2 linked regions of the Cricetulus griseus genome follow. The protein of the gene in region 2 interacts with the protein of the main gene of each other region in a pairwise test. Links are inferred from orthologs where the notes say so. Each region holds a gene or a part of one and is shown on either strand. Other genes may lie near its edges.

The links. The genes of interacting proteins can lie anywhere in the genome.
Region 1: the proteins of Bcl2l13 (region 2) and Tmem86b interact in binary tests that used the Homo sapiens proteins (3 or more experiments, as listed by UniProt). The two-hybrid records come from large-scale screens. The link is inferred for Cricetulus griseus from reciprocal best matches to the Homo sapiens genes BCL2L13 and TMEM86B.

The regions. Positions count from the first base shown.
Region 1 is NC_048602.1:23,280,170-23,285,856, reverse strand, and holds Tmem86b (lysoplasmalogenase), read left to right. Parts: upstream 1-1,840; 5' UTR 1,841-2,955; coding exon 2,956-3,006; intron 3,007-3,404; coding exon 3,405-3,651; intron 3,652-4,628; coding exon 4,629-5,011; 3' UTR 5,012-5,316; downstream 5,317-5,687. Other genes in the region: Ppp6r1 (serine/threonine-protein phosphatase 6 regulatory subunit 1), read left to right, coding at 1-68, 503-613, 703-765, 846-849. UniProt on the Homo sapiens protein: Catalyzes the hydrolysis of the vinyl ether bond of choline or ethanolamine lysoplasmalogens, forming fatty aldehyde and glycerophosphocholine or glycerophosphoethanolamine, respectively and is specific for the sn-2-deacylated (lyso) form of plasmalogen.
Region 2 is NC_048601.1:24,056,368-24,061,928, forward strand, and holds the start of Bcl2l13 (bcl-2-like protein 13), read right to left. Parts: upstream 3,659-5,561; 5' UTR 3,519-3,658; exon of another isoform or gene 3,033-3,518; intron 2,375-3,032; exon of another isoform or gene 2,333-2,374; intron 1-2,332. UniProt on the Homo sapiens protein: May promote the activation of caspase-3 and apoptosis.

The DNA of each region.
Region 1 (5,687 bases), on a different chromosome or scaffold from region 2:
TTGGTTAGTGTTGCGGATGTCCAGGCCACTCTGCATGGGATGTGCTCTGACCCCAGCTCCTTGGACAGGTGACTGTTGGTGTCCATCTGAGCTGCTTGCTGGAGGAGGGGTAGGGGAAGCCCAGCCTCCTTGCTGAAGTGGCTGCTGCGCCCTTGTCCCTACTTGTCCTCAGCACCGGGCTCCACTTTGAGCTCCTTTGCCCCTAGAGCTGGCTGTTCCTTTTAGTGATGAAATGTTTTGGACAGTGGCAGGAGTGTGCGTGTTACCATAAGCGTACCCTGAAGGGGGTTGGCCACTGAGAGTCAGGTAGAAGGCTGAGGAGCCCCGGCTCTCCCGCCCCCATGCTCTCTCTGCCTTCAGTGTGCTCATAGGCTTCCCTGTTGTGAGGGCTCTGTGCCCCAGCCTTTTCTCACCTGAGGCCCATTCTGGAGAGACCACTGGCCTCAGCAGGCAGAGCCTGTCAGCAGGCATCTAACAGTAGTCAAACTGGTCTCTCCTACAGTGCAACCAGAGACCCCTCTACCTCTGTCCCAGCCTTTGAGGCCCAGAAGTCCCCCCAGACAGTGGAGGGGGAAAAGAACCCAGAACCTTTGGGGCTTCCCCAAAGCCAGAGGTGAGTTGGCCTCTCCAGGAGGTGTTGGATGGATGGGCAAGGATGGTGGGGCAGGAGGTAACCCCCAGTTCTCCTTTCTCCCCGAACAGTGCCCAGGCCCTTGAGACGCCCAATGGCTCTACCCCAGGAGGGCCCATTTCATCGGGTTCCCAGTGAGTGTGCCCCCAGCCTGGTGTGGGTGGGCAAGATGGGGTCACTGGACCTCCTCACACGTGTTTCCTTCTGTTTCTAGGTAGCTGCCTGGTGGCAGTGATGGCCAAATCCTCTGTCCTCCCCATGGAACCCCACCCCCCCCAGTGGGGCAGGATGGGTCCTTTGGTGGCCCTCTTGCCCATTTCCCCATATCCTGCATTCTCTCCTCTGGACTCCAAAGGAGGCTGGTGCCAGGGAGATGCCCTCACCCACCCCATTTGCACTGAGAAGAGAAACTATGGAGCTTTGTCTCCTAGAATAAAGATAGAGAGTCACATAGAGAGAGAGAGGAGAGAGAGAGAGGTATATTATATATTATATATATATATACATATATATATATATATTGAGGGAGGAGTAAGAAAGGAAGCCAGGACAATAGCTGGGTCAGCAGCTCTGAAGCACAGCCTCCCGGGAGTCGTCTGTCCAGCGGGGACCGGCGCTGGGCTTTGAGGCTGCTGACCCAGGCTCTGGTGCAGATGCTCACACCCGGCCTTTCACTCAGGACCACCTTGGGGTGTAACAGAGGGCGCTAGGCCCAGAGGGCCATGCGTTTGTTCAGACCTTGCACTTTGACCAGGCATCTGGCCCCTGGCCCTGGGGAGCGGGGCTTCCCTGGCAACATCCCTAGAGGGCCAGAACCGGGGATTCTGGGTGCCCAGTACCCTGAGGGTCCCAGCACTGCTGCCAAGTGGCCTTGTCCCAGCTCCTTCCCCCAGGCTGGCGTGAGTGTGCAAGTATGTGTGCAGGGTTTGTGTTTCATACTGCAAATATAAATAAAGGAAGACAGCTGAAGAATCCTGGTGTCAGACCTTGAGTTCTGGGACTCAGGGTTGGGTGAATCTGCTCTATATGGTCTAGAGAGAATGGCATTCTTTTGGAGGACACTGGTGAGTGTGTGAGAGTGTGTGTTTGTGAGTGTGTGTGGTGAGGAGTGCTTTTTTGTTTTGTTGTTGATTTTTTTTTGATACAGGGTTTCTCTGTGTGGCTTTAGAGCCTATCCTGGCACTCGCTCTGGAGACCAGGCTGGCCTCGAACTCCCAGAGATCCGCCTGCCTCTGCCTCCCGAGTGCTGGGATTAAACGCGTGCACCACCAACGCCCGGCTGAGGAATGCTTATTTTAAGTGTGTGTGTGGCAGGGGTGGGGGGTGAGGAGTGCTTATTATGCTCACCAGGTAGAACACGAGGAAAAGGGCAGCAGTCTTGTTGAGTTAGCGCTTTGGAATCCTCTCATCATGATGTGCACTGCCTTGGCCCTGTTTGGAGATACAGATCAGGGTAGGAGCTGTGTTGTCAACTCACAGCCCCCTTCCCTTCCCTCTGTCCTCCTTTAGCTGAGATCTGCTGGGAAGAACAAGAGGTCTCTGGACCTTGGAGCTGGGCTTTCTGCCTTTAAGGGGATAGGGAACGCTGGGCGTTGGTGGCGCACGCCTTTAGTCTCAGCACTCTGGAGGTAGAGGCAGGCAGATCTGCATGAGTTGGAGGCCAGCCTGGTCTATAGAGTGAGCTCCAGGACAGACAGGGCTACACAGAGAAACCCTGTCTTAGAAACTGCCCTCCCCCCAAAAAAAGGTGGGGTAGGAGGCAGGCAGCTGCCTGGGAGTCCCCTACTGAGTTACCCAGTAGTGGGCTGGGCCCTCAGCACCCGGTAGGTACCTGTCCTGTATATGCGAAGGCTGCAGAACAGAACAGCGACTGTGCAGTGCAGTGATCATCTTTGTGAGAAGCGTGTTTGAGTGACATCCAGCACAAGGCAGGGTTTGTTCAACCAGTGCTTGTGGCAGGGTTCCTCTCTGGAATCTTTCCTGCCTGCTGTTGTTAGGGGTTGGTTGTGGGGGGTAGGTCGCTCTCTGTGGAACCCTGCATTGTCCCTTCCTATTGGCTGGGCACAAGACAATGGGAGGGCCACCTATGCTGGCCTATAAAAGGAGGTGGCCAGGTTTCTCTGTGCGGGGGAGGGGCTGTGAGGGGTGGAGGGACCCTTGAGTCCTGATGGGCACTTTATCAGCAAGTGCCAGAGAAGAACAGGCCTTGGGTGAGCCCTGTTATCGGTCCCAGAGTCCACAGGACACTTGGATTAATGTGTAACCTTAAAAGGCTTCCCCTGTGCCCTCTGAAGCCACTGGTTCCTAAGTAGACACCACTCAGCATGGATCCTAGAAAAGAGGGGCTGCTTCTGAAGACACTCTTCTCAGACCAAGTGAGAGCCTGTGAGGGGTGGGGGGGGTTGGGGGTGGGTTCAGGCCTGGCAACAGGGGTAGCCCTAGGGCCTGTGAGTCCTTGTGGTGAGTTGGTTGGGATTCCCTGTCCTTCCAGGAGTTTGGGTACTAAGGTACTGTGGTCTTGTCCTGAGTGACAAAATTACCAAAGTGGGTAAAGATCCTGGTCCCTGAAGTCCAACCTGGATACCAGGGTGGTATGAGGGACACGTGTTAAAATAGGCCCTCACTGTGTATCATAGACTGGTCTTGAGCCCAGTGCCCTCCCGTTTCCATCTCCTAAGTACTGGACTTGTGGGCATTTCCCATCATCCTTGCTGTGACCCCTTCCTGAGGACTGGGTTGAGGGTGGGAGGCTGAGCAGCTTCCTCTCCTGAAGCACCCACAGGTCCGAAGGTGGCTGGTCCCCTTCATCATCGCCTGCTCCCTCTATTTCCTCCTCTGGATTCCTGAGGACCAGCCCTCCTGGATCAGTGCCCTGGTGAAATGCCTGCCCTGCCTGTGCCTGGTTGTGTTTCTGCGGGCTGTGGCCCCTGGTGGGAGCAACTCCTGGCTCCTCGAGGGAGGTCTTGTATGTTCTGCCTTGGGAGATGCCTTCCTCATCTGGCCTGAAGCTTTCCTTTATGGTGAGCAGGGACCCTATGACAATCCATTTAGGGATCTTGTGGAGTCAGCCAGTTCTGGGACACAAGTTTAGGTTATAGGGAGATGCCCCTAGAATCCACTGGGCTGAACCAGGCTGTGGTCCCGAGACACCCGGAGGCAGTGATGCGAGGCGGGCAACTCACGGTTCTTCTGAGGGTTTAGGGTCAGGCTGTAGTTGGAAGGGATGGTGTAGAGAAAAAAAAAAAAAAGTTTTTTTTTTGTTGTTGTTGTTTTTTGAGACAGGGTTTCTCTGTGTAACTTTGGAGCCTATCCTGGCACTCGCTCTGGAGACCAGGCTGGCCTTGAACTCACAGAGATCTGCCTGCCTCTGCCTCCCGAGTGCCGGGCTTAAAGGCGAGCGCCACCACCGCCCGGCAGTGTGGACAAAATTAAAATGCCCCATAGCTGAGGAGGGCAGGGTGTTGTTTTTGAGACATCCGTAGTCCACGTTGGTGTGAATGGCCTCAAACTTAGGCCTTAGCTTAATTCTGCCTTAGCTTTCCCGAGAGCTAGGATTACAGGAATATACAGAGATTTCTCTACCACACCTGGTATGGAGGCATAGTTTCTAGGATGTGTGTGACAGTGGCCACCCAGGGCATGGAATAGTGTGTGGGAAGGACCTGCGTTGCCCAATGGGCCCGTCTGGCTGGAGTAGAGTGGTTGGTGAAACCGGGGCGTAGGGCTTCCCAGAACACGATTTGGAGTTGATGGACGCGTGAACAGAGCCAGTAGGTGACACGGTATGAATTTTAAAGTCATTCTCATTGCTCTGGGAACTGATAGAATGATCAAGAATGGGAAGAAATTGGAAACCCACCAAGAAAAGGGGTGCTCTAATCTGAGAAGAATATGATGTGACATGCCGGGAGGAGCTTGTCCCGTTAGGTCTGGTGGTGAGAAGCAGGAGTGGATGCCCTCCGTTAGCCTCATGGGGCCCTGTCCCTCTCTCCCTCAGGCATGGCCGCCTTCTTTGTCGCCCACTCACTGTACCTCTGTGCTTTCGGCCTGTCCCCGCTGCAGCCCAGATTGCTGCTATACGTCGCCCCGGTCTGTCTCATCTACTACAGCTTCCTCCTGCCACACCTTGAGTCAGGCATGGTCCTTCCTGTGCTGGCCTACGGGCTGGTCCTGTTCTCCATGCTGTGGCGCAGCCTGGTCCGGGGTGGGAGTGCTGCCTGGGGCGGTTTGCTCTTCACCGTCTCCGATGGTGTGCTGGCCTGGGATACCTTCATCCACTCCGTGCCTTTTGCCCGCCTAGTAACCATGGCCACCTACTATGCAGCCCAGCTCTTCCTCGCCCTGTCAGCCCTCAGGAAGCCAGGGCTCAAATTCCACTAATGCAGGACCCGGACAGCCCAGGGTCTCCCGAATGCGTACCTTGGCTCTTCACATTGACCCAGCCTGGCAAGCGGATGCTTCCGGTCATGTGCCTGCAGATACTTGGCCATCTTAAAACATCTGTGTACCGTTGGCAGTTTCGAATCTACCACTGAGATCAAGCTGCCCTCCCCGGGCTTCTGATTGTGGATTCCAGGCTCCCAACCCAGCATACATCCCGTCTTGCCCTCCCCATGCCTGCTTCCTCTTCCCTGTCAGCCTTCCCTAATCTGGTTCTCGCTGCTGAAGTAAAGTGAGTGTTGGAACATCAGTGTCATTATTTGGGAGGAAATGTGTGGGCATGATGACAGGTCCTAACAGCAGGCATAGTTTTGTTTTGTAAAGATTATTTGGGCTGGGCAGTGGTGATGCACGCCTTCCGTTCCAGCACGAGGCCAGCCTGGCCTACAGAGCAAGTTCCAGGACAGTCAGGACTACACAGAGAAACTCCTATCTTGAAAAGCAAGGACAGCAACCAAAAGTTACCCGAGTGGGAGTGGTATACCTGTGTGTGTAGACAAGCATGCCTGTATGTTCCCACTAAGTCAGAGGAGGGCTTCTGGTGTCCTCTCATTGTCTACCTATCAGAGACAGGATCTTGCTCCCTGAACCTGCGGCTTGCAGTTTCTTAGCTGGC
Region 2 (5,561 bases):
CCACACAGAGATTTTTGTCTCAAAAAATAACAGAAGAACCATTGCCAAGTGGTATGGGGTTTCTTTTAGAAGTGATGAAAACTCCAATAATGGTTGCACAACTCTGAATGTGCTAAAAGTCATTACATTACACAACTGTAAATAGTATAGTAAATTAATTATATCTCAGTGAAGCTGCTAGACAATGAGCTGCTCTCAGCCAGCCATAGTGGATCACAACTGTAATCCTATCACTCAGAAGGCTAAGCAATATCGCCACCAATTTGAAGTCAGACTGAGCCTCACAGTGAGTTCCAGACCAGCCTGAGCTACATACAGTATGAGATGCTCTCTCATAAAAACAACACAAAAATTTCAGTTACTATTGGATTAAGTGTGTAGCTCAGAAGTAGAGCACATAAAAACCTGAAGACCTGTATTCTATGACCAGCACCACAAAAACAAAAAGCAGGTAACAACAAAAGGGGCTGGAGTGTATCTCCATGAGCTCTCAGCATGTAAAAGGACAGTGGTTTGATCCCTAATATAAAAACCCAACTTCTGAAAATATTACTCTTGACCCAGATTTGGGTGGTTCGGGTCTGTAATTCTAGCCACTTAGGCTGAGACAGGAGGATCACAGTTCAAGACCAGACAAGGACTATATAGGGGCACCCTATCTAAAAAATTCTTGGTGTTGGAGCTGAAGAGAAGGCTCGGAGGTTAAGAGTATCTGCTGTTCTTGCAGAGGACCTGGGTTTGGTTCCCAGCACCCACATGGTGATTCACAGCCGTCCGACCTCCGGTTCCTGTAGGTGTTCCCTATTCTGACCTCTGCTGGCACCAGGCACGCAGAGTGCGCATAGACACAGGCAAAACACTCACATAGAATAATTTTATGTCTAAAATATTTCATAAGAAACAATGCAGAAAAACATTTGATAGTGTGACAAGATGGCTCCATTGTAAGTAAAGCTGCTTGCTGCCAAGTCTGACCAATTCCCAGAATCCACACGGTAGAAACAGAGAACCAACTCACCCCTACATCAGCTTGTGATACATAAAACCCTGTCACACACACCCAAAAAAAAATAAAGGAAGAAAAAAATTTTAAAGTGTGTTAAAGGACATGAATACAAGTGCCCACAAAGGTCAGAGGTGTGAGACCCCCTGGAGTGAGGGTTACAGGCAGTTGTAAGCTGTCTGATGTGGGTACTGGGAATCAAACCCAGGTCCTCAGGAAAAGCAGTATGTGCTCCTAACCACTGAGCCATCTCTCCAGCCCTGTTTTTTTTTTTTTTTCTTACGACAGGGTCTAACTTTTAGCCCAGGGTGGTCTCCCAGCAATCTCACCCAGCCTCCCCAGTATTTACATTCCCAGGAGTGCCTGCCTTTTATAAGATGAAAAAGCTGTTTAGTGAGAGCAGTACAAGAATGAGAAGTTAAAAGGAGTGAGGGTAGGAATGACAAAAACAAACTACATACTTATGCAAAATTGTCAAATAATAACACTTTTTAAGATGGTTAGATTTGCCATATGGTGGTGGCATACACCTTTAATCCCAGCACTCAGGAGGCAGACCTCTGTGAGTTTGAGGCCAGCCTGGTCTACAGAGAGAGTTCCAGAACAGGCTCCAAAGCTACAGAGAAACCCTGTCTCAAAAAGAAAAAAAAAAAAAGATGGCTGGATTTAACCTTACACATTATTTGGCTGAATTCAATTTCCAGGGCACACTTGAAGATACAGGCCATTTAAGGTAGGTGTGGCAGCCTCCCCTGGAATTCCAGCACTAGGGAGGGTGATTTAGGAGGACTACTAAAAGTTCAAGGCTAGCCTGAAGCACAGACTGAAACAGTCTCAAAACAAACCAAGGGCTAATGAAATGATTCAGCGTTAAAAGCAACTTGAGTTTAATCTCCAGAACCCATATATAAAGATGGAAAGAGAAAAAGAACTACCAAAGTTGCCTACTGGCTGTGGATGGTGGCACAGGCCTTGAAAGGTAGAGGCAGGCAGATGTCTGTGACTTTGAGGCCATCCTGGTCTATACAGGAAGCTCCAGGAAAACCAGGACTATATAGAAAACTTTCCTGCATCCCCCCACTCCCCCAAAAACAATGTTACCCACTGCCCTACACACGTGTATCCAAACATACATCTACATCCACAATAATAATACGTTTAATTCAATTTTTTAAAGGGACAGACATGGTTGGGTACTCCTGGATCTCAATACAAGGGAGGAAGGGAGGAGGATGAGTTCAGCTGGGATACATAAGATCAAAAAACAAAACAAAACAAATGATATTTTAAGGACTATGAGCTATCTGGAAAAAATATTTAGAATAGTACCTGATTATTCAGAGCAGGGGAACCTGCGAAGTCCTCATCTGCCTATTATATACAGAACAATAGTTTAAGCATTTTCAATTCACTGTTATAAACATGAAGGATACATTAATCTAATTGCATGTATGAAATATAAGTGGTTCCCTACCCACAAACTTGCTTAACTTTCCCGTGTGTTAAAAAAAAAAGGTGGAGGGGGAGGCATCTCAAGGGTGTGGCAATTCATGTAAGGTCACACAAGTTAGGGCAGAGAGCGTCAACATTCTGGTTTATGCCAAGCCTCCAAGGGAAATATTAGAAATTTTGCAAAGCGTTTTTTTTTTTTAAACATCAGAAAGAAGAGGGGCCTGTCATCATAGTTCAAAACTTTTAAACACTGAGTGTAAGACAGATCTTTGAGATAAACACTTGTTCATGGGAATGGTGAATTGCTTAACAAAGCTATCAGCAAAGAGCATATGAATTGCTGGGCAGAGTCGTCCAATTTTTACCCCTTAAAGTAAAAGCCCGGGCTTAAAAAGTCCAGGCTTCCTCCTGCACGGCGCTATACTATAAAGGCAAGAAATGAGGGATCCCGTGGGGATATGGGGAGGACTTTTAAGAAGGCAAAGAAGAATGAGCGTGAACGGTTATCCATCGCCTCCACGGGGTTAAGAAAGCCTGTTGGTTGTGGTGTCCTGGGGTTGGGGGTGGAGTGGGAACGGGTGTCAAAACTGCAGCGCTAACCCTGAGAAACAGGACTCGGAGCGCTGTGGCAAGAAAGCACTAGCGAAGCTAATCTATAATCGTCCTAAGTGAACGGCACACACTTCCCTCCTCCAAGAACGAAGGCACGTCTCCCAGTCCAGACCCCCAAACGGACCCCGGTCCTCCGAGCGAAGGTCTGGGTGAGGGGCAGAATGGAGAGCAAGGGTGAGTCCCTGGCGCCGCAGGCAGCCAGCCACACAGCCCGTCCAAAAGCCACCCACCGTGGGGGCACGCTGGACAGGTCCACCAGCCCCGAGCAGTGCCCACAAGCCCCGACAAGCCCCGGCAGAGCAGCTCGGTCCTCGCTCCCTCCCGCCTGCTCTCCCCGCGTCCGGGGCAGCACCGGGCGGTCGGCTCGGGGGGTCTCTAGACCCCCTTCCTCCGCGGGCGAAAACCCGCTCCGCCACCCAGCAGGACCTTCCCGGAATCCCACTCCCCTCACCTGGCGCCAGCCCTGCCCCAGAAGGGATGAAGGAGACGGCGGCCGCAGCAGGTGCTTCCCACAGGGTCCGGGAGCGGCGGTGGCTGCTTCGAACCGCGGCCCTAATCTACCGCCACCGCCATGTTGGACGGTGAGGTCACCCCTGCGCGCTTCCGTCACGGCCCGCGTGGGGGAGCGGGGCTGGGGCGCGGAGCCGAGCCGGAAGTCCGAGGCTCGGTCCGCTGGAGCGGAAGCGGTGACCCTGCTGCCCGCTGGTCAGTCCGCGCAGGCGTGACCTGCGTACGGAGCTGTCCCTCGGCCTCTCTTTGCAGGAGCCGGGGGAGAAATAGATTCCTGGACTTCAGAAATGCCTTCGCTAAGTCATTTCCGGTGCCGAGTAGCGCTAAGATGAGGTAGACACCGCCCGCCTGCTCAGCCCGGTGTGGAACGAGCGGCTGGTGGCGTCGCAGACCTGTGCATTCCGGGAGTGCCCAAGCCCGCGCGGGTTGCCTGTCAGTACAGCAATCGCGGGCGCTGCCGGGTTCGGGCTCTCAGCCACCTACCTGCCAGGAGGTTGTCCTGAAAGTTGGAAAAGCAACTTAAAAGACAGGACTGACAGACGGGTCTAGAGCCCAGACACCGTGGTGGTAAAGGGCTCTTTTAGTAATAATACATTTCTACTTACAAGGCCTAGCAAAGCTGCCTGGGATGAAGTTCGTGCTGATGAATGCTTGTTTTCTGGGCTTCGTGAAAGCATGTAGCAGTCCAACCTGTGCTCCGAGATAAGCTGTGAATGCTTCCCACCCCCCCCCCAAAAAAAAAAAACATAATAGATTTACGTAAAAGATGAGGGGGTATGTGTAACCTGATTATCTAGTTTTCAGAGTATGAACTTTGCAGAAAGCATCTGTGTCTCAATGTGAAAAGATCAAGATATCTAGGTTAAAAGACGAGCATCCTGCTTTTGTTCTTAAGATGAAGTAACAAAGACAGCATGGAAGATTAGGAGTTAGGAAAAAGGCGGTTGTAACCAATCAGATCAGAAAGTGATAAATGTGCCCAGCTGCTTGTACAGGCCTGTAATCCCAACACTCAGAAGGCGAGGTAGGAGGATTGCCATAAATTACAGGTTGATGGGGTCTCCAAAGCTATTTCCAAGCGGTCAAGACTACATAGTGTAGCCGTGAGGTGGTGGCGCCCGCCTTTAATCCCATCACTTTGAAGACAGATGCAGACAGATCTCTGTGAGTTCAAGGCCATCCTGGTCTACAGAGCAAGTTCCAGGACAGCCAGGACCACACAGAGAAGCCCTGTCTCAAAAGAAAAAAACAAAAATCACAGTAACAATGGCAGCACAATTACAAGCATACTGAATTCTATTTAGTGGTATGCTTTTGTTGTTGGTTTTCTGGGACTGTGTCCTATGCTGACCTCAAACTTGTTCTGTAGCCTAGCATGACTTTGAATCTCATCCTGCCTCTGTCTCCTATGTGCTGGAAACTCAGGTTTATACTAGCATGTGGGTGCCTAGTGTCAGAAGAGGGCGTTAGATCACCTAGATCTGGATTTGTCAATGTTTGTGAGCTGTCATGTGGGTTCGAAGAAATCAAGCCTGGATCCTTAGGAAGAACAGCACTTAGAAGAGGGCAGGAGGGCCAAAAGTTCAAGATCATCTGCAGCTGCATACCGAGTTTTAGGCCAGCCTACACTACCTTGTCGTTAACAGAAATGGATTTGCCTGTTTTGCTGACTTGCTCCTGTCCACCAGCTTGGGAATAGGTGAGAACAGTGAGCATGCAGATCCATCGTTTGTGAGTAACCTGACAGGAATTTAGGCCAGCAGTTTTCATAGACGAAAGCAAATACAATTACACAAGAATAGACTTGTTTCTTAAAATTCATTTGAAAATTTGTTTTAAATAGTTTCTCTACGAGAACCAAGATAAGACTGGGTTTAGGAAAATATGAATTGGTTAATACTTGCAGGTTTAGTATGCTCTTAGATTTAAACAAAACACTTTTTTTGAGACAGTCTTACTGCTTAAACCAGGCTGGTATGGAACT